4 linked regions of the Drosophila melanogaster genome follow. Changing the gene in region 4 together with the main gene of any one other region gives a genetic interaction. Each region holds a gene or a part of one and is shown on either strand. Other genes may lie near its edges.

What was found.
Region 1: of puc (region 4) and kay, changing one suppresses a phenotype caused by changing the other (phenotypic suppression), as found in Drosophila melanogaster (3 studies listed by BioGRID).
Region 2: of puc (region 4) and Jra, changing one suppresses a phenotype caused by changing the other (phenotypic suppression), as found in Drosophila melanogaster (2 studies listed by BioGRID).
Region 3: of puc (region 4) and l(2)gl, changing one suppresses a phenotype caused by changing the other (phenotypic suppression), as found in Drosophila melanogaster (2 studies listed by BioGRID).

Annotation. Positions count from the first base shown.
Region 1 is NT_033777.3:29,787,273-29,794,618, forward strand, and holds kay (kayak), read left to right. Parts: upstream 1-1,663; 5' UTR 1,664-2,880; coding exon 2,881-3,582; intron 3,583-4,120; coding exon 4,121-4,448; intron 4,449-4,514; coding exon 4,515-5,752; 3' UTR 5,753-6,841; downstream 6,842-7,346. UniProt on the Drosophila melanogaster protein: Developmentally regulated transcription factor AP-1 binds and recognizes the enhancer DNA sequence: 5'-TGA[CG]TCA-3'. May play a role in the function or determination of a particular subset of cells in the developing embryo.
Region 2 is NT_033778.4:10,094,536-10,099,066, forward strand, and holds Jra (Jun-related antigen), read left to right. Parts: upstream 1-1,944; 5' UTR 1,945-2,061; intron 2,062-2,392; exon of another isoform or gene 2,393-2,469; 5' UTR 2,470-2,603; intron 2,604-2,707; 5' UTR 2,708-2,731; coding exon 2,732-3,601; coding exon of another isoform or gene 3,602-3,850; 3' UTR 3,851-4,021; downstream 4,022-4,531. Other genes in the region: CG2269 (uncharacterized protein), read left to right, coding at 1-99, 161-443, 514-708; RpLP0-like (ribosomal protein LP0-like), read right to left, coding at 4,056-4,531.
Region 3 is NT_033779.5:18,331-22,967, reverse strand, and holds the start of l(2)gl (lethal (2) giant larvae), read left to right. Parts: upstream 1-1,591; 5' UTR 1,592-1,902; intron 1,903-1,994; 5' UTR 1,995-2,137; intron 2,138-2,947; exon of another isoform or gene 2,948-2,952; 5' UTR 2,953-3,023; coding exon of another isoform or gene 3,024-3,083; 5' UTR 3,084-3,088; intron 3,089-4,397; exon of another isoform or gene 4,398-4,637. Other genes in the region: Ir21a (ionotropic receptor 21a), read left to right, coding at 33-225, 281-1,049. UniProt on the Drosophila melanogaster protein: Essential for the development of polarized epithelia, for cell polarity associated with asymmetric cell division of neuroblasts during development, and for oocyte polarity formation.
Region 4 is NT_033777.3:8,103,583-8,108,337, reverse strand, and holds the start of puc (puckered), read right to left. Parts: upstream 3,007-4,755; 5' UTR 2,478-3,006; coding exon 2,243-2,477; intron 1,851-2,242; exon of another isoform or gene 1,599-1,850; intron 107-1,598; coding exon 1-106.

The sequences.
Region 1 (7,346 bases), about 22 Mb from region 4:
GAAGGCAAAGTCTCGGGCCCGAGAATTTCTTAGCCACTCAACTTGTTGCATCTTCACCTTCCTCCTCTGCCCAGCGTTTAAAAACATGTGAATGTGTTTTTGAACTAATTAGAGCCAAGGTCAAAGTTGATGGTCTAATCAAAATGATAGCGCGGATTTACAGGCAATTGATAAGTTTGAGTTTTCAGGGAATTCCTTTGGGAAGTGGCAATTTTTAGGTTTTGAAATATTTTTGTAAGTTGCAGTCACCATACATTTATTTAGGGGCCACTTTGGTTTGGCTTGAACCGCCCGCAAATCAAATTTGCAGCAGTCGCGTGTATTAGTCAGCAATTTGTTGCTTTTCGCTACGTCAGTGTTTTACTTTTTCTTTTTTTTTTTTACTCTCCACTGCTGGCTGTTCGATGTTCGCTGCTCGTTTCATTTGGTTCATAATTGACCCCCAGATGTGAACTCGGTGTCCGGAGATATGACTCTGTCCAACGTTCCGATAGGAGAATCGAGATCGCCATCCGAGCTGGCTGGCAAGCAATTTAGACAATTCAATTCGCCGCGCTTGATTGCCAGCATTCTATATCATCACTTGTTTTGCATACGTACATTTTCCAAATTGACTGATTCATCATCGGCTAAATGCGGTTCATGTTCGCGAGGGACAAGTTCAAATGGCAAAAAAGTGGGTTAAAACGAAAGTAGCCAGCCAAACAAAGGTGGCCAAACAGCCAAGGCGGCCGAGTTGAAAGTAAATTTCGCATACGAAATTAAAAAGTAAATATATCACAAAGAATAAAATCGATTGTTTGCTGTCAATAAGGGAACGGCCTTTGGGATTGGGAAACACGGCTGCGATAAGATCGTCAAATAAATAAGCACACAAGCCGCTCGAACTCGCTGCACGGAGAGAAAAGAAGGCATACTACTTCAAAAATGTAGCCCCAGTGCAACTGGTATGTGTGTGTGTGTGTGTTGCTCTTAGCCCACAACAAAAGCCAGCAATTAGCGTATTGGCCAACTTGCTGGCGACGGAAATAAACGCTCTTGGCGAGACAGGGGGTCTGAACTGAACTGAACTGAACTGAAAACATAGTTAATGTGGATGTGCCACACGCACACACCTGTTCGTGGGACATCTGTCGAATCGGACATGTGTATATATGTATGTAGCTTATGTTTACTCGGAATCATCGCTTTTGGCCAAAACATTGGGCCTGATTTATGGGCAACTGAAAGGCTTTTCCGTGGAAGCGAAGAATGAGCCTCTGGCAAGTTCGGCAAATCGGAAGCAGAAGCATATACATATGTACATAAGCCACCACCACATTCTACTATAGCTAACTAAATGTACATATTTCGCTTTGAATGCGGCAAAAGCGAGCGTGGTCGTCGTGTGGGCAGCCGCTCAATTAAGAGCAGCCAGCGTTTAGGATCATTTGATTTCCCAGCGGCTGTCTTCTAATTTGAGCAGCCAGCTCGCACAACACACGCCCAGCAGACAGCAGACAGCTCTCCGGATTCGGATGCGGGTTCGGGTTCTCTAGTAGTTCTCAAGATATATAAATATATATATGATATGTATATATATACATATATATGCATACATCTGCGGCGATCTCTCGATCGCGATCGTTGCCAATTTCGCTCGCCGGAGATTCTGATGCGATTCAGTCGCAAACGAACAACGAACCATCGAAGTTTAGAAAATATCTAACAATTAAAAGCGATCGCGCGCGCGCTTTTCCTCGAATCGCATCGCATCGAATCGAAACGCGAAACTCAAACAACGAAACGAAAATAAATTTGGAAAACTGCAATTGTCGTTGGGTTTTCGGTGCGCGTGCATTGCCAAAACGAATCAGGAGCAAAAAAAACGAATCAGTCGGCTATATGTACATATATACATATAGACGCAAAACAACGCACATTTCTCGGCTGCAAGCGCGTGGATCGAAATATATATGCCATACGAATATACATATATATATATATATATATGTAAATATAGCCAAACCCAGAAATAAAAGCGCAAAGGGAGGCATAACACTCGCTGTGTTGAGAGGCGTTGCCCATGGCCGAGGAATTTCTGAATACAACAAATGCAGCATTAATTGAACTAGCTCAAGGCTCCATGTCCGTGTAAATCTCTATAATTATATAATAATCGAATTTGCGGCTCACACAGTGGAGCGACTTAAACTGGACACGTGTCGCTGGATTTTGGGCCTCGCACACTTACGATAAACTGCGTCGATTATGAGCGCTTTCGCCGAGCGGAATGTGCGTTTCAATCCTTTGCGAAATCAGCAAACGCTTATCGTTAAGCGGCTGAGACCGCCGGAGAGCCAAAACTTCAAGAACTGAGCAATCGAACAACGAACATATACGAAATCTGCTCACGGCTCGCAGCTAGCAAGAAGTCAAATCAAACGAACCCTTTTTCTTTATTAGGAAAGAGCCAACGCAGAAAGCAAACGAAATACACAATACACACAAAAAAAAGAAGCTATGAAACAAAGCCAAAAACGAACGAATTTCTAAGCAACTAGAACAACACTGCGACAACAAACAGCATAGGAGCATCCAAACGAACGGAATTATAAAGACAAGAAAGGATCATCAGCACATTGTTAGGAAACTTTGGGAACAGAGTCCCAATTTGTACATATACTCTAGTTTAGCTAGTAACTAGATTCTTAGATTGTTGAATTGTTTTTGTTGATTTTGAATACAATTCGCATATATCATTGTTGTCCCAATTGTTGTGTTAGCTTAGCTAGGCTAAGAACCCCAACGAATACTAGTCAGCCGCCCAACTGTGCGTATACGCAACGCGAGTGCGTATACTTAATATTTAGGTTTAGATCGATAAGCAGCGAACAAATGATGAAAAATCTCAACGGTAGGACGCACAATGCGTGCTACCATCCCTACTACCACCAATCGCTGCATTTTGCTCAGCAGCAGCAGCAGCAGCAGCAGCATCATCTGCAGCAACAGCAGCAACATATGCAGCAGCAGCAGCAGCAACAGCAAGCGCCGCAGCAACAGTTGCGTCATCAGCAACGGCAACTGCCCACGCAGCCAGCCTACCAGCAATCGCAATCGGTTGCCCACAATGCTTTTCCACTGCGCAGCAGCAGCAACAATTATGGCCATGTTGCTAGCAGCGCCTACGCTGCCAGCAGCGGCAGTCACAACAGCAACAATGCGGCTGCCATGGCCGCCGTCTGCCAAATGCAGAATTTTTTCAACCAGCAACAGCAGCAGCAGCAGCAACTGGAGTTCAACAACAATTGCATGCCCATTAATTACTACCAGCAGCAGCAGCAGCAACATTACCCTTCCGAGTCCCAGTCCTCCGCCTCCGGCTGGAATCCCGAAACCCCTGGGCAGGCGCAACTCGCCTTGACGGCCACAACATGCAACACCACTGCAGCTGCAACATGCAACACCACTGCAGCTGCAACAACGAGCACAACTGCAACATCTGCTGCCGCTGGCAGCGACAACAACCACAGCGACAACTTTGCAATGGACGCCAGTGAGATAGCCACTTTCCTCGCCAACGAGCTTTTCCTACAGCAGGTACCACAGATCGATCGATGATGATGCCTCCGATTCTGGTCGAGATTGGGATAGATTTGGGCGCGAAACAATTGGCAAGCGGCATGCGTACTTAATCATCGCCGAAAATAGAACAAATGCGGAACAACAAAGGGGTGGGCAAATATAAACAAAGTGATGGATTGGCCGCCTCTCTTTCGGTTTCTTCATCTCTCTTCGCCTCTTTTTTTTTCGTTTTTTGTTTGGCCAAAAACACGTTCGCTAATTCGCTAGAAATGTACGGATAAGCAAGAGGTCTTACAGACTTAGCAATAGCTTTTGATGTTGACTGATATCTGAACTCGACCCAAATTACTCATGTGATAAGAATAAATTCCCAAACATCCTTAAGCTATTCGCGGGCAACACTGCGTATGCGTGATATATGTATACTGATATGGCATTGTAGAGGGTTTCGTGCTTGTCATGAGCTTTAATGAGCGTTAATAGTAATCCATCTTCTCAGATACTTGCACTCATAGATGTCTTTACTAATCATGCACCTTTTCTGCTCTTGCAGCTCGGCAACTTTGAGACCGGCCAGAGTGTTCTCACACTGACGACGCCCACGTTGACGCCGACCACCACGCGCAACATCGAGGACACACTGGGCCACTTGCTCTCGGACACGCAGACCGATCGTGTGGCTGGTTGCGCGGGATTTGCAGTGCCAAAGGTGCTACCCAATGCCATTGATGTCCTGGGCATGGGTATTCCCACCGGTGTTTCGTCGCTCCCACTTCAGCAGACATTCGATTTGAGCCTGGGGCAGGGCAGCGAGTCCGAGGACTCCAACGCTTCGTACAACGATACGCAGATGAACGAGGAGCAGGACACGACCGATACTTGTAAGTGAAGCTGGCACGAATTGCTCCGAATGTCTACTAACTCCCTTTTATTTCATACGCCTGCAGCAAGTGCCCATACGGACAGCACCTCGTACCAAGCTGGCCACATCATGGCGGGCAGCGTGAACGGCGGCGGTGTCAACAACTTCTCCAATGTCCTGGCCGCCGTGAGCTCTAGCCGCGGATCGGCGTCGGTGGGCAGCAGCAACGCGAATACCTCAAATACGCCGGCTCGTCGTGGCGGTGGCAGACGCCCCAACCGGTCGACGAACATGACCCCGGAGGAGGAGCAGAAGCGGGCCGTGCGCCGGGAGCGGAACAAACAGGCGGCGGCCCGTTGCCGCAAGAGGCGCGTGGACCAGACCAACGAGCTCACCGAGGAGGTGGAGCAGCTGGAGAAGCGGGGCGAGAGCATGCGCAAGGAGATCGAGGTGCTGACGAATAGCAAGAATCAGCTGGAGTACCTTCTGGCCACCCACCGGGCCACCTGCCAAAAGATTCGCTCCGACATGCTGAGCGTGGTCACCTGCAACGGTCTGATTGCCCCGGCCGGACTCCTGAGTGCAGGGAGCAGCGGCAGCGGCGCGAGCAGCCATCACAACCACAACAGCAACGACAGCAGCAACGGCACGATTACGGGCATGGACGCCACGCTGAACTCCACCGGGAGGAGCAATTCACCCTTGGATCTCAAGCCGGCGGCGAACATCGATAGCCTGCTGATGCACATCAAGGACGAGCCACTCGATGGCGCCATCGACTCAGGATCCAGCCTGGACCAGGACGGTCCGCCGCCCAGCAAGCGCATCACCTTGCCGCCCATGTCCACGATGCCGCACGTTCACTTGTCCACGATATTAACGCCCACCGGCGCCTCGTCGGGATCTCTGCAGACGCCGATCACGAGCACGGCGCCCGGCGGATTCGGCAGCGCCTTCCCGGTGACCTCCAACGGCAGCAGCATCAACAACATCAACAGCATCGGCAACAACATGAACTCTCCCACGCTGAATGCGCATAACAAGGTGCCTAAGGAGCGGCCCAATACGCTGGCTTTCCAGCGTCCTCTGGGCCAGATGCACCTCACCATGGCCAACAACAAGGCGGGTGGGCCCACGCAGATCCAGGGCGTGCCCATCCAGACGCCCTCGACCGGCACCTTCAACTTCGACTCCCTGATGGACGGCGGCACTGGGCTAACGCCCGTCTCCGGACCCCTCGTACCGAACAGCTCCTCCACGAACAAGCACCCGCTGGAGCTGCCCACGCCCACCGCCGAGCCGTCCAAGCTGGTCAGCTTATAACCGGACCGGATCTGGGACGGGGATGGGGGCCGAGTCAGGATTAAGTTAAGTTTTATATAGTTGGCAGGCAAACAACGGAAGGAAACCGCGAAGCACTTTTCTAGTTGTAGGAGATGTTTTCATTTTTGTAATATGCTGTAATATGCGTAAACGTGACGAATGTGTTGTTTCGTTAACTCTAATGTTTTTGTATTATTATCTTTATTATGGTTAATTTATGATTTCGCTATGTCTTTTACATACGCCGAGGAGCTATGTACATATGTTATGTACTTGTAATTTGTGCAATTTTCAAACCTCTTCATTGCGCGTTGTATATTTTCAAAAAATATAAGAACGCGAACGCGAACGCGAACGACCGACGATGCATGATGAGAATGATAAGGATAATGATGATAATAGGGCGTGTAGATTTGCAGGATGCGTTGTGATATTTATTATAAAACGAATACAAAAGATGCGAGGATGAAACAAAGTAGAAAGCAAACAGGAGCGTCTAATGAAAGGAACTAAGCCGGTTTTAAAATTGTACATTTAAACGAATCGTAAAGCGTAAATATACTATAAAACAAAACAAAGTGAATATATATTCAGCATACAAACTAAATACAATGCCTTGAGAGAGAATTAAGAAATGCAAACCTTTATATATAGAGATCTACATACATATATGTATGCATGTACATTTAAAGCTAAACAATAATGGCGTTGAAGCGAGTTTTATATTGAGCAAAAGCAAATGTGAAATGAGATAAATATACTTATTGTGTACTCTGTAAGCTGCAGTAGAAACCAAAATATATTTTTACTAAACGCAACATTGCGCTATTTTCAAATACCATTTATAAGAAATGACAAAAGCAAAGCAATTATTTAATATGTAATTATGTATTATGTATACCTATATCTACCTACCCACAACCTTAAATCAAAAAACCCAAAACGATTCAACAAAAGCTGATCAGGTAAAGCAACTCTCGCCAGTTTCCACACTAAATTCTCAGAATATTCAAAATTTTAATCTATACAAAACCAAACCGATTGATAGCAAATAAATGCACTTATAAGGGCAGAAAAACACCAAAATTTAAAAATGAAATGGAATAAAATAGAAATAAAAAGACCGACAAAACCTAAAGACGATTTGTGGAATTATTTCTGAAGTTATAGCGATTCACATGACTTGCAAATGGGCTGGCTCGTCGTCAGGTAAACATATCAGGTAGATTAGGGTGGACCAACAAAGGCTGCATTCTCAATTTCTGCAGACTTCTTCAAGCGATTTGAAGTACTTACTTATGGAAGTAAACCTCATTGAGAAAATGGCTCTAATGTGAAAATGCGATCATTCAAGTTATGAAAACATTATGAGATAGAAACACCTAGTTGCTGCCATAAAGACCAGTCTGAAGGGCAGGTAAACGCAGCCGTGTTCTTCCACTCGTCTGATAATGGCACAAACGAGTATATATGTACATACAACACACGCTGCATATATTCATTTTCGGGTTTGCCTTATTTTGCATTTTTTTTTGTTTTTTTTGGGATCTGTTGCTTTCGGTGCAGCCACGAATCGCGGATCTCTGTTTCAGTT
Region 2 (4,531 bases), on a different chromosome or scaffold from region 4:
CAATACCATCGAACCGGAATCCGAGGAGAACGCGTTGGACTCCAATTACTGGTTGAACAAAAAGTCGGTGAAGAAGGAGCAGGCAGATCAACTGGCAGAGTAAATGAAAATGCCCTTAAATTTACATTATTTCGATGTGTTTATTTCTCAAATCCTCCAGAGACTCGAGACCACCCAAGGACATGGAAAAGAGGAAGCGCAGTGGTTACTTGCGCTATCCGGAGCAGCCAAATACCATGGAGGAGGCACTCAGCCTGGGCAGCGCTCCCTACGAGACCCTAAACGACGCCTATCTGGGCAACAAGAACTACATTGTGGGCTCCAACCAGTGCCCCATTATCGAGTCCATGGCGGAGCGCTGTCGGGGCGTCGATCTCATCTCCGGAGACATTAACCAGGAGCTCCTGCCCCTCTGCGGTGTTCACCAGATATGCTATCTATGTGTAAGTGAAAACAGGATGCCTGAGTCGAGTATGGTTAACTATAGTTTACCCATTGCATTTCCGTTTCCAGGGTGCCTCACAGGTAGCCTGCGACTATCAGTACTTGGCGGAGGCGGATAGCGTTTGCGGCGACAGCAACGACTGCCAGTCGGCGGCCCGTTCCATCCTGATGATCCTGCGGGGATCACACGGCCGGCAGCTGGGTCCTAGGGAGTGCTTGAAGAATCCCTGCTTGTACAGGGCCATGCGGGAGATTGGGCTTTAAGCGAACTGCTCCGAATTGCCGCCCAGTGTTTTCCTAACGTCTCTTTTGTGTGCGTTTAAAAAGAAAATCATAAATCGAAAATGAAAATGACAACCCCGCAATGCAAAGCAGAGAGAGAGAGAGAGAGAAGATAACAATATGAGCCCAAAAAACCAATATAAAAACCTTGCTGAACTGGCAAAAATCAAACAAACGATTGATTCAAAACCAAATAGTCGTCGCATACAATGACATAATATTTTGATGGATTTTCCTGACCGCCTCGCGAGGCGGCAGCAGCCAACTAGAGTTTACCAGATACCTAAAGAGATGCATATAGATATACATACAATTTGGATTCAGTTAATCGCAGTAGACGCCCGATGCGGCCCGATTTATTTGGTTTAAGTGTTCAGCGTAAAATGGAATTTTTCGAAACATATTTGCACGTTTTATGGGTGTTTAAGTGTACAAACGTGATCATAGACGAAACATAACACACATACATATGCTTAACCAAGACATACAAGTATTTAATCCACAGCCAGCTTTTTAAGTAACTCAACTCGCTTGACATTCTAAGCAAAATGAAAGGCAGAGCTCACATTGGCAGCTAGTCCTCCAAAGTCACCGTCAGAATTCTTCTATTCGGTTTGACTTGGATGTGTGCACATACATACGTGCGTGTGCCATACCATAATACACTATACACATTATACATATATAACGATTTTAGCCTACACCGGGAAAAAAACTATGTATCTTTGCGAACGCCAAATGCAGAGCAACTAACTATAGTATCTGAGACTTCTCTCTCCGCATTACTTGTCTACAGATGAACATATACATTAATGTGTTTCAACGTGCTTACAATAAATGGACATAACTAAGACAAATATTTGAAGCTCTAACAAATCTATAGATGTGATTATTAATATATACAAGGAGTTTAATAAATGTGTAAATCTTTTAGGGCCAGCATATATACCAATCTGAACAACAGCAAGACGTTTGGTTGCGAAATCAAAATATTATTAATGTATTTACATAAACGAACAAATATATATATTTAAACTTGATGTATATGCTACAGTTTGAAAAACAAAACAAAACAGAACAAAAACCCATATTTGAAAATATTTATTGCTATACAGTTATCATAAATGTCGAATATAAATATATCGGGAATATCCCAAAAACGTATGGCCTTTTTTCTCGGATGTTTTCAAATTATTTGCGAATGTTCCGAGTTAAGTGTCATATTTTGTTTCCCCTTTTCAATTGTAACTCGCAAAATCACAAAATCATGAGCATCAGTGTTTTCCTGGAGTTCCTGACATAATGGATCCGTCTGGACAGTTTGTGGTTCCCCAAGTGCGAAAACAATATCTTAACCAGACCGAAAAATATATTTCCTTTCCTATTTACCGACGCCCAGGAGTGATAAAGAGATCTATTGCATCTTCTTTTACTGCCAAACATCAAGAAAATTTCAAGAAAAACATGAAAGACTAGCGACGGCCTTGTTTCCATTCACCTTTCATAATGATTTAGTAAATGTTAAAAAAAACCTATATTGTATTTTATTAACTTAGCTACCGGTAATGGTTTGTGTCACTGCTAAGCTTCTTGCTTGAGTCAATGCTGCCCATTGTTTAAACATCGCATTTAAAGACCAGTATCGATAGCAATATCGAATAAATAATCGACACTTGTACCACCGCTAGCACTCATTCTGAAAACAACCTTGCGCGTAATAAATATTTTCGTAAAATTATTTAGCGAAACCAAAATAAAAATCAAACGATTCGTTGGCCGATAAAACCGGTGATTAAGCAGTGGCAGTGCAGAAAGCAGAAAACACAAAAGTACAGATTGTGCTAATCAAATTTTGCAAGCAAAGTTCCCACCCACTGGTGAGTAAGAAGAAGAGCGAGTTATTCGCATGACTCATCGCGAAACGAGTTTTTATCAGATTGTTTTCATTCCGTTTTCGTCTCTTTCACTTCATCCGAATCAGATTGACGTCATTGCTTGAGCAAACATGAAAACCCCCGTTTCCGCTGCTGCGAACTTAAGTATTCAGAATGCTGGCAGTTCCGGAGCAACTGCCATTCAGATCATACCTAAAACCGAGCCCGTTGGAGAAGAAGGCCCCATGTCACTGGACTTTCAGTCGCCGAACCTGAACACATCCACCCCGAATCCTAACAAGCGTCCCGGCTCGCTGGATCTGAACAGCAAGAGTGCCAAGAACAAGCGCATCTTCGCACCACTGGTCATCAACTCACCGGATCTGTCATCCAAGACGGTAAACACACCCGATTTGGAGAAGATCCTGCTATCCAACAATCTGATGCAAACACCGCAGCCGGGAAAGGTGTTCCCCACCAAGGCGGGGCCCGTCACCGTGGAGCAGTTGGACTTCGGCAGGGGATTCGAGGAGGCCTTACACAATCTTCACACTAACTCCCAGGCATTTCCGTCCGCCAATTCCGCCGCTAATTCCGCCGCCAATAACACAACTGCGGCAGCCATGACAGCGGTGAACAATGGCATCAGCGGAGGCACCTTCACCTACACCAACATGACCGAGGGCTTCTCGGTGATTAAGGACGAGCCCGTCAATCAAGCCAGCTCGCCCACCGTTAATCCCATTGACATGGAAGCGCAGGAGAAGATCAAGCTGGAGCGCAAGAGGCAGCGTAACCGTGTGGCTGCATCCAAGTGCCGCAAGCGCAAGTTGGAGCGCATCTCAAAGCTGGAGGATCGCGTGAAGGTACTTAAGGGCGAGAACGTCGACCTGGCTAGCATCGTGAAGAACCTCAAGGACCATGTGGCGCAGCTGAAGCAGCAGGTGATGGAGCACATTGCCGCGGGCTGCACGGTGCCGCCGAACTCGACAGACCAATAACATTTGGAGTTGTCAGCCGGGGAGAATGATGAGGAGGACGTGGCACTGGAGACTGAAACCCCCTCGAATCCTGAAGATCCCGAGCAACCCATGCCTCTGGAATTCTTTTCAAGTGCTAGCACCGGTGCCTTGGAGCTGGAGGGCTCGGCCTCTCAGGATATTTCCCTAACTAACAGCGAACTCCTGGAGGAGGAGAGCGATAACGAACAGCCTCTGGTGCTCTACATCCTCGCGGACGACGCAACCTGAGGCTTTGTGCCTTTCTTTGGTTTTAGCTGCAATATCTGAAATGCTTCTTAAGTGTTTTGTTTACTTAGTTATTAGTATAAGCTAGTGTTAATCAAGTATTATCTGTGTTGAACGTAAGATAATATGTAATGTACTTTTAAAATATACGTATATTTTCTGCACTTGATATATACATAAAAAAATTATTTCTACGCCTTAAACTTATTTATTCATCATCCTCCTCTTCGTCATCATCGTCGTCGTTGTCATCCATGGCCTCGGCCTCGGCCTCCTCTTCCATTGCGCTATCAGCCTGTTCCTCGTCGTTCACATCATCCTCGACATGCAGCTGGAAGCCTTCGCTTTTTGTCCACGAGCACTTCATGGTCAGCCGAAATTTGGCCATGGGCTTGCCCACCAGCTTGAGGATTCTCGCCTGTTCGGGTGTTAGAACTTTGCCCTCCTCACAAACCGTGTAGTCACTGTACAGCGTAACGATTCCCTTCTCCAATTTGGTGGGCAGGCCCAGGGAACGCAGATGCGGTTCCATAGAGTGGGCGAAGTCCTCTAGGGGACCTGCTGGCAGGGTAACCGTTTCCGTGGCCACAAAGCCACTGCGTGCGTATTCCACGGCCCAGTAGTTTTCTGCCCACTCCAGGACTTCCTCCTTGGATTTGTCCGTGAAAAGCAGTCCCACCTGGC
Region 3 (4,637 bases), on a different chromosome or scaffold from region 4:
TTGTATATAATATTTGGGCTTCTTACTTAAAGACAATGGTGGCTGGGAGACCTGGTTCCAGAACTCGACCCATATACCGACGTCTAGATTGTACAAGAAAATGGAGTTTGTCGGGTCCGTAGATGAGGGCATTGGCAACGTTACCCAGAGCTTCTTTTGGAACTATGCCTTTCTTGGCTCAAAGGCTCAGCTCGAATACCTGGTGCAGTCAAATTTTTCAGATGAGTAAGATCGATCCTTTATTTTTAATCTTCCCACCGTAAACGATATCCTCTTTTAGAAATATTTCCCGCCGATCGGCGCTTCATTTGAGTGAAGAGTGTTTTGCTCTTTTCCAAATAGGATTTCTGTTTCCCCGAGAGTCAGTGTATAAAATCAAAATCGACTCGATGATATTACTTGCCCAGCAAAGTGGTCTTATTGCAAAAATCAATAACGAGGTAAGCTGGGTCATGCAGCGATCATCTTCAGGACGCCTGCTCCAGGCAAGTTCTTCGAATTCCTTACGCGAAATAATTCAGGAAGAGCGCCAATTGACTACAGCGGACACAGAAGGAATGTTCCTGCTCATGGCACTGGGCTACTTTCTAGGAGCCACAGCCCTGGTATCCGAGATCGTCGGTGGGATTACCAACAAGTGCCGCCAAATAATCAAGCGCTCCCGCAAGTCGGCCGCCTCCTCTTGGTCGTCGGCGTCAAGTGGGTCAATGCTTCGCACTAATGCCGAGCAACTTTCCCATGATAAGCGAAAGGCCAATAGACGCGAGGCTGCTGAGGTTGCTCAAAAAATGAGTTTTGGAATGCGCGAGTTAAATCTTACCCGCGCAACGCTTCGGGAAATATACGGAAGCTACGGGGCACCTGAAACAGATCATGGTCAGCTAGACATCGTCCACACTGAGTTTCCAAACAGTTCTGCAAAATTAAATAATATTGAAGACGAAGAATCTCGGGAAGCTCTTGAATCTCTGCAGCGTTTAGACGAATTTATGGACCAGATGGATAACGACGGCAATCCTTCCTCACATACATTCCGTATTGACAATTAATCACAGAAATTTTTAAATGCAAATACAAAATAATCACTTTAGTGCACATGAAATTATATGTATTGAAATAAAAAGTTTGATGCAACAACAAATTTTACAGTTGTTTGGTATTTTGTATGGGAAAGTTTGTGGCAATATATGGTTTTACTTGAAAGCGGATTGGACATGGTCACACTGCCCACAAATCACAACATTGCGTTATAAATGAAGCACATCTAGTTTTGTGTTAAGAAAGTGGTTCACAATTTATATAGCAGGTTATGGTAAAACATCGATCGTTCCGAAAAATTCCGCTCGTTGGCACATTTTCTAAATTTTTCGTGCGACAGCGGTGATTATTATATGATATTATTATGATTATATATACAAAAATTATTATAATTATATAAAAGTTGGCGACCATATCAAAAAGGTTGCTATAAAAACAAATGGCAATTTATAGCGGAGTTTCACTCCCAAAGCGATGTTCTCCACCCATTCCAGTCAGTCATGGTAAATATACCTTCTAAAAAATATATGATTTTTTCGATAGAGATACACGGGCACACTAGACCCACCGATCGCGACTTTGTGTGTGTTAAAATGACGCGCATATCGTTTTGGGCTAATAATATTGTTCACGTTTTATAAAACAGATACACGGTTAAGCTCTGACCGGTCGTATTATTATCTGTGTGTTCTTGGTTGACACGTTTATTTCATTTATTCTCATTTAAAGCAACGATGTGAAGAACAGTGCGGGCGTTTCTCAACATAAGAATACATACAAACTTATGCGTGATGGTGAGCAAATAAAATAGTTCAAAAAATTACTCGGCCACCGCCTTAACCGTACAAACGGAAATACATAAAGGTAAAGGGCTCAACAACAGTATTACTGATTAGGCAATTGATTTATATTTCAAACTTCTTAAATAAAGTGTCCACAAATATGTATGTTCTTAGCATAGAGGCGTAGTCGGTGAGTCAGCCACGCCAACAGTTAACAGTCGTCATTTTGCTGTCTGTCTAACACGCAATTTGTGTGTGTATATGTGAATAAACAGATACCGGTATGCAATCGCAAAGCTGGTCAACTGTAAAGATCGGTATGTACTCAAAATTAGGTCATCACCTTGTTATGCAGATACATTTGGGAAACAGTTGACTTACTTGGTATTGGTTATCAGCCGAAAAGCAAATGGTGATACGGTTTTGCACCTCAGCTTACTCACGGATACATACCTACGTACATAAATGTATGTATACGGTATACAGTCTTAGAAAAAATATTAGTACCGACCAGCTAGCGTTTGCCTAAAACGCTTTTACAAAAATAAACGTATATGTTTTAAGTTGTTTTTTGTCCTAATTAATACATTTATTATTATTTATTTATGAATTTTAGAGCTTTAATAGTAACTAAATTGTTTAAACAAACTTTAAAAAAGATTTACAAATAAAAAAATATTTCGTGTGCGTGACGGAATTGCTAGTTCATTAAAGGGAGGTACATATGTACATACATACACATTGCAAAGAGTACAGATCGCTCATCATTTCATTTTTCCTAATGTACATATACATATGTACAAACATGTTTATTAAACTGCCTACATGCAAATCTTTGAAGTTTTAAGAAAATAAGCACAACTAGTTTGGAAAATCTTGGGAGCCAAGATCTATCTGTCCACTGATTTTCCTATGACTTCAAGAATGTAAAACCCTTTTTGTTAAACAAATTTTGATTAAAGTATACCAGAATAATATTAAACGTATCGTCCGTATCTATAAAAGGTATTAATAGTATTACCTAAATTTAAATTCTCGGTTTTATTCATAAGAGTGAAAAAATATACAAGTTCCTTTTTAATTTTTTACTTATTGAAAATTTGATTAATTTTTATTATTATTTTCAGTTTAGAATAAATTCGGCCACAATTAATATACTTATTTATTCATCAAAACCAAACCACCACAAGAGCATAACCAATCATGTTAAAGTTTATCAGAGGAAAAGGGCAGCAGCCCAGTGCTGACAGACAACGCTACATCGTAAGGTAAAACAAACAATTTTCTCTTTCCGTTCTATTTTTTTTTTTTTAAGTATTTGTAGCCGATTGGTATATTTTGTGGGGTCATTTATTTTGATCTTGGGTGGTAAATACATTTTTATGGAAGTTAGAAGAAAGCTTATAATTTATGAGGAATAAATAAATACCTCCTTTTGAATCTTTTGTTATGTCTTCTCCTATGTGCATACTTTTGGGCATTAACATTTAGGTAAATTTTTTCCACCGCAACTACAAGTAAACCGCATACACACACAGTATTTTGTAGACTCGCGCCACAAAGCACCGCATAAAAAAGGTTACGGTGCTTTTTTGCTCGTTTCTTTTGTGCACTCCTTCTATGCGGTGCCAAATATGAGGAGGTACCTGAAGCTTGGTTGATTTTGTGAGTGTCTTTTTCCACAGCATATTTTTGTGTATTGGCTACTTTAAAAATTCTATTATATCGTTGTGCTCGTAATGTTGTCCATTCCTTTTAAATATTTTCGAATTAAATATACCATAGATGTTTCCCTATTACCATAATAGTTTAATAAATATACGTATATGAAATTTTTTTTATCCTATGTTAGTATAAACATGTTATTCAACAAATAAAAGTAGGTCAGAGGTAATCGCCATCCAGCTCCAGAAAGAGGGGGGAGCTGATAAGATTGCGTTTATGTACCTAATGGGTTGGGTAAGTGGCTTGGTTTCACAAACACCCTTATTTCAGGTACAAAATAAGTATGTCATAGACGGCGTAAAATTGATAAGATTTTAAAGTCAAAAGAAAATGAGTTTATTCGCCTGTAACTGCGTTAGAAATCCAAATACACCCGCAATATTATATGTATAGAAAGAAAAAGTTTGATGCAACAACAAATTTAAAGTTGTTTGGTATTTTGTAATGGAAAGTTTGTGTCACTAAATATGGTTTTACTTGAACGCAGATTGGACATGGTCACACTGCCCACAAAATCACGACATTGCGTTATAAATGAAGCACATCTAGTTTTGTGTTGAAAATGTGGTTCACAATTTATATAGCAGGTTATGGTAAAACATCGATCGTTCCGAAAAATTCCGCTCGTTGGCACATTTCCTAAATTTTTCGTGCGACAGCGGTGATTAATTACAAAAATTATTATTATAATTATATAAAAGTTGGCGACCATATCAAAAAGGTTGCTATAAAAACAAATGACAATTTATAGCGGAGTTTCACTCCCAAAGCGATGTTCTCCACCCATTCCAGTCAGTCATGGAAAATATACCTTCTAAAAAATATATGATTTTTTCGATAGAGATACACGGGCACACTAGACCCACCGATCGCGACTTTGTGTGTGTTAAAATGACGCGCATATCGTTTTGGGCTAATAATATTGTTCACGTTTTATAAAACAGATACACGGTTAAGCTCTGACCGGTCGTATTATTATCTGTGTGTTCTTGGTTGACACGTTTATTTCATTTATTCTCATTTAAAGCAACGATGTGAAGAACAGTGCGGGCGTTTCTCAACATAAGAATACATACAAACTTATGCGTGTTG
Region 4 (4,755 bases):
GTCCGTCCGCCGCCGTTCATTGCCGTTGATGATGACGTCGTCGATGTCACTTCGTCACATGCCAGATTCTCCCTGGACCGCTTGTTGGGATAGTCCTTCTGATTGGCTGCCGAGGGAAGGAGACGAAGACCAGAAAATACGCATTAATGCGGTGATTTAAAAACTGATTTTAATTGGCGGTTAGCGATTTGCTTAATTTTATAACCCATGATGTCAGCACGGACCGTGTATGGACCGCAGTGCGAAAAACTTGTCGCGCCAGGTTCCCCGTTCAAAAAAACCGCAAAAATATTTCGTTTCGATTGCCGCCTGCCAAAACTGACGTAAGACATTTATTTCGGCTCTAGAGTTTTTTTTTCTTCTTTTTCGCCTGATTACGAGCGAATGCAAAGCCAAAGTTTTCCACATTCGCTCGCAGCTCACAAGTCGCTTATCACAGTGAGCAGGCATAATTAGAGAACGCTTTGTAAGCTAGCCCGATACCAATTTGATAGTATATTATAGTAAAACACAATCCAGATTATTCATTTATAGGTAAGTCTGAACAAAAGCTGTCAATAACAAATAGTTGAAAACTTTTTTAGTACGGCAATCTTGGGTTTTTAATGCTGGTATATTTATGTTCTTAGCATCATTCTGATTTCTTCGAATATTATTAAAATTAATCTTGTAGTAAATATTTGTTTTTAAAAACTTCAAGTACGATTTTCCCCCTACACTAAACTTTAATTTTAAGCCATGTTCCTTGATTGAAGGGTATCATTTCAGCCGTCCGTCAAAAGAAAAAACTTGATAAGATAACCAATGCTACAGTTTGTATTATGTTTTCAAAGTGGTCTTAGGAGTTCGGACTGTGCTGACTTGATCAAATCGACTTTATCAGCCTTGCCAGAAAGTATAGTCTCTTTTATGCTGAAAAGCAAAACAACTTCGAGCAAACTACTGGGGTACAAAATTGCTGTTATCAGCCAAGCGACCTCAAAAGCCAAAAAACAACACAGAAAAAAGCAACAGCCTCAAAAAAAGTACAACCAACTTTTCACCGCGGCAGGAAACGTTGGTTATGTTTTTTTTTTGTCGCTGTTGTTGTTGTTTGCGGCTAGTAAAACAAGTAAAATCGCATGCCAATAGTGCATTGCAAACCTCCAGGGGCGTCTGGGTCTGGAGTGTGTGGGTTTCGAAGGGGGCCTATGGTGTGGGAAACGGGGGGAGTGGTGTGAAGTAGAGTAGAAAATAGGAAAGTGCTAATTAGTATACAGTGGCTTGTTTACTTTTGGAAATGAGCTATGCATCAGCTTTCTGTTCACTATTTTGTCCAACTTTTGGGTTGCGATTCGCCATTATGTTTACTGTTATTAGTAATTCGCTGTTTATTGTCTAAAAAAAACTTGGCAACAAGGTAGTAAATCTTTCACTTTAAGATGATATTAATTTTAAGTGATTTATAAAGCGATTGTAATGCTTCAACTTATATTATATTTAATAAATTTCAACTATTCTGTAAATGTTTTGGAACTTTGACTCAACGAGGGCACCCCTTTTTAGTTTCGCCCCTGGCCCTTGCAACTAACCCTTCCTGCTCTTCCGCTCTTTCTTACCGACTCCCAACTTCAGTTTTGAGTTGTTGCCGCGGCTGTTGCTTTTTCTCCTTCTGCTCCCCTTTTGGCCTCCTCCTTCGCACGCTTCTCCCTTCTTCTGTTGTTGTTGTGCCGATGAATTCGTACTCGAAAGGTCGTTTCAAAGCGGGTTTTTCAGCGTTGCCAGGCCGCTTGAGAAACCTGCTTTGCTTTACATTTTTTCTGTTGTTTTATTTTTTTTATTTGTACTCGTATTTTGTTGGACTGACTGATTTTTTTTTTCATTTATCCAGCCAACAGAAACGAATCGAAACGCTTCTTTTGCTTTTATTTTTGAAAGACACGCGAATTGTGAGTCACGTATGGAGCGAAAAAAAGTAACTGACTCTGAGTCTGATCTCTCTCGAGTTCGTTTCTTTTTGCTTGTTTTTGCTTTTGTAGAAATGAAATGGAGACGCTTACGTGTGCTCCCCCTCTCTTTCGCGCCCCAGCAAAAGTAAACAGCATGCCGAGCGGTAAAAATCAAGAGAGCAAGAGAGAGGGATTAATACGTTCTCCCTGTCCCGCTCTTTTGATTGGTTTGAGTGTAATCTTAAATTGTACGATTTTTCTTATTGCTTATTTCTGTTGATTTGATTCTTTTTTTCGCTTCTTTTTGTACTTACCACCAATGCGATTGTTGTTGTTGGTATTTTGGATTGGCATAAATAACAGAAGACACGGCGCTTCTCGCTTTATCCGCATTTTCATTTCACTTTGTATATGACTCACGCTGTCGCCGTCTCCGTCGCACTCACAGCGTCCGTTGTGGCTGTTGTTGTTGCGTGCTGTTGACGTTGCCGTTGTAGTGTTGTTGCTATTATTGTTGCTGCTGCTCTGCGTTTCTCGATTCACACACATATGCACGCGCTCACACTACACACATACACATGGGGGCCTTTGGTTGTTTTAAAATTGATATATGTATATTTTATTTGTTGCTTTCTGCCCGTATAATAATCTATATTATTTAAGTATGATTTTCGGTAGGAGGGCTTTATTAGATAATCCCCGAGCCACTTGTTGAGCCACTTCCCGTTATAAAGTGTGTTGCAACCAAAAGTCGGGGGCCCAGAAATCGAGTTTTATTTCCACTTGTAGCACGCACACTTATTTTTAATTCATTAATCGAAAAACGCGCGGGTTGTAGATCTCGTTTTTATATTTTATTTTAGTATTAATTGTTTGCTTCCTCTTCTCACGATTCGTGTTAAAATTATTGTATCCAATGATAAATGTTTTTACCAGAAATATTCTAGTTTTAATTTCCTACTGTTTTCGCGCGGAGCTTAGTTATTTTTCGAACTCGTTGTGCAAAGATGTAGACACAACCGTTCGAAGCGGTATTCAAAAGGCGAATGAATGACCGAATGAATGAGCGCAAGACGAATGAACGGGCGCAAAACAAATTTGATAACCGAATTTGATAAAGACGCGATTAGTGTGACCAGAGGCTACTACAGTTAAAAAAGGCTAACAAGCTGAAACTTTACTCTACGCTCACCAAATTCACCAACACTGAAGACTTTGCGGTTGAATTTGAAATTAAAGTATATATAATAGCCACAATTGTTGACAAATGAAGTTAAAATAAGCTATTACATACTTTGACCTATGATCATAATACAATTTTTATTTATTTATTTTTTATTTATTACACGTTAAAGGTTAATTATTTTCGAAACATGCTGACATTTGACTTTGTATAATTGCTTTTGACATGCTGTATATATACTAATTTTCTTTTATCTCGGGCTCAAACCTTTTGTTAGTTTATATTGATGAATTCCATTTATTCATTATAATTTTTATGAATATAGCAATGCTCGTTATAAACCTCTTTAAATTCTTCGTTGTCAAAACATTTTATTTGTCACTACAGAGATGCGCTCATGTCTACCCAAGTGCCTCAGCAAACCAATCCCAACCAAACCCGTCAAACCCCACCTGAATCTCCGCAACCCAGTAACATGGAACAAATGTTTGCTCGCTTCGAAGGAATGGTCGAAAGGATGATGGAGAAGATGTTCTCGCAAATGACGCAGCTTGTTGCTTCCATCCTCAACGCAAAAGTATGCAAAGCCTAAAAATAGTTATTTGGAATGCTAACGGCCTGCAGAGGAGCAGAGCCGAGGTGGAACACCTCCTAAAAACAGATGCCATCGATGTACTACTGGTATCAGAAACCCACTTTTGTCCCAGATCCCATTTTAGCATTAGCGGCTACGATGTCATCCCTGCCAACCATCCATCTGGCAGAGCGCGCGGAGGAGCAGCCATGCTCATCAGGAGTGGCATCCAGTACACGGAGCTACCTGCGTTTCAGGAGGAATGGGCCCAGTGTGCCCTGGCCAGAATCTCCAGCCTACATGGAGACATCACCGTTGGAGCGGTCTACTTCCCACCTAGACACTCGATCACCGAGACTCACCTACAAGATTTTTTTGAGTCCTTTGGACCTCGCTTTATAGCAGCTGGTGACTTCAACGCCAAACACTCCTGGTGGGGGTCCCGCTCCATCAACCCCAAAGGCAGAACGCTCCACAGATTCCTGCAGAGCAGAAGACTGGATTGCCACTCCTCTGGTGAGCCTACCCACTGGCCTTCAAACCCTTCCTTGCTGCCCGACCTCCTGGATTTTGCTATCTCCAAAGGCATAGGGCAAGACAGACTAACTTGCTCCAACTATAACAAGCTGATATCCGACCACAGCGCTATAAAAATGCTTCTCAACATCCCCGTCCTCAAAAAAGAGTTGCCCAGAAGACTCACCGGGAAGCACACTGATGCCTCCAAGTTCACACTCTGGATGCTGTCCTCCCTGCACCCGGATCCTCCACTCTCCACTCCAAGCAACATCGATGCGGCAATCAAAACTCTCACGGATGAGATGTACAATGCTGCTGAGTTTGCCAATCCTCCTCCTTCAACGTCCCCAAGAACTCCCGGTAGAGACCTTCACCTCTGGTCTCCAGAAATTGCGGCCTTCGTAGCGGAAAAAAGGCGCCTCAGGAGAATCTGGTTCTTCTCGCGCAACCCAAGGGACAAGGCAGCACTCAACAGAGCCATCAAGGAACTCAAGGACAAGCTGTGTACCCTACGGCAAGACTCCTTCGACAGATTCCTTGAGGAGCTGGAA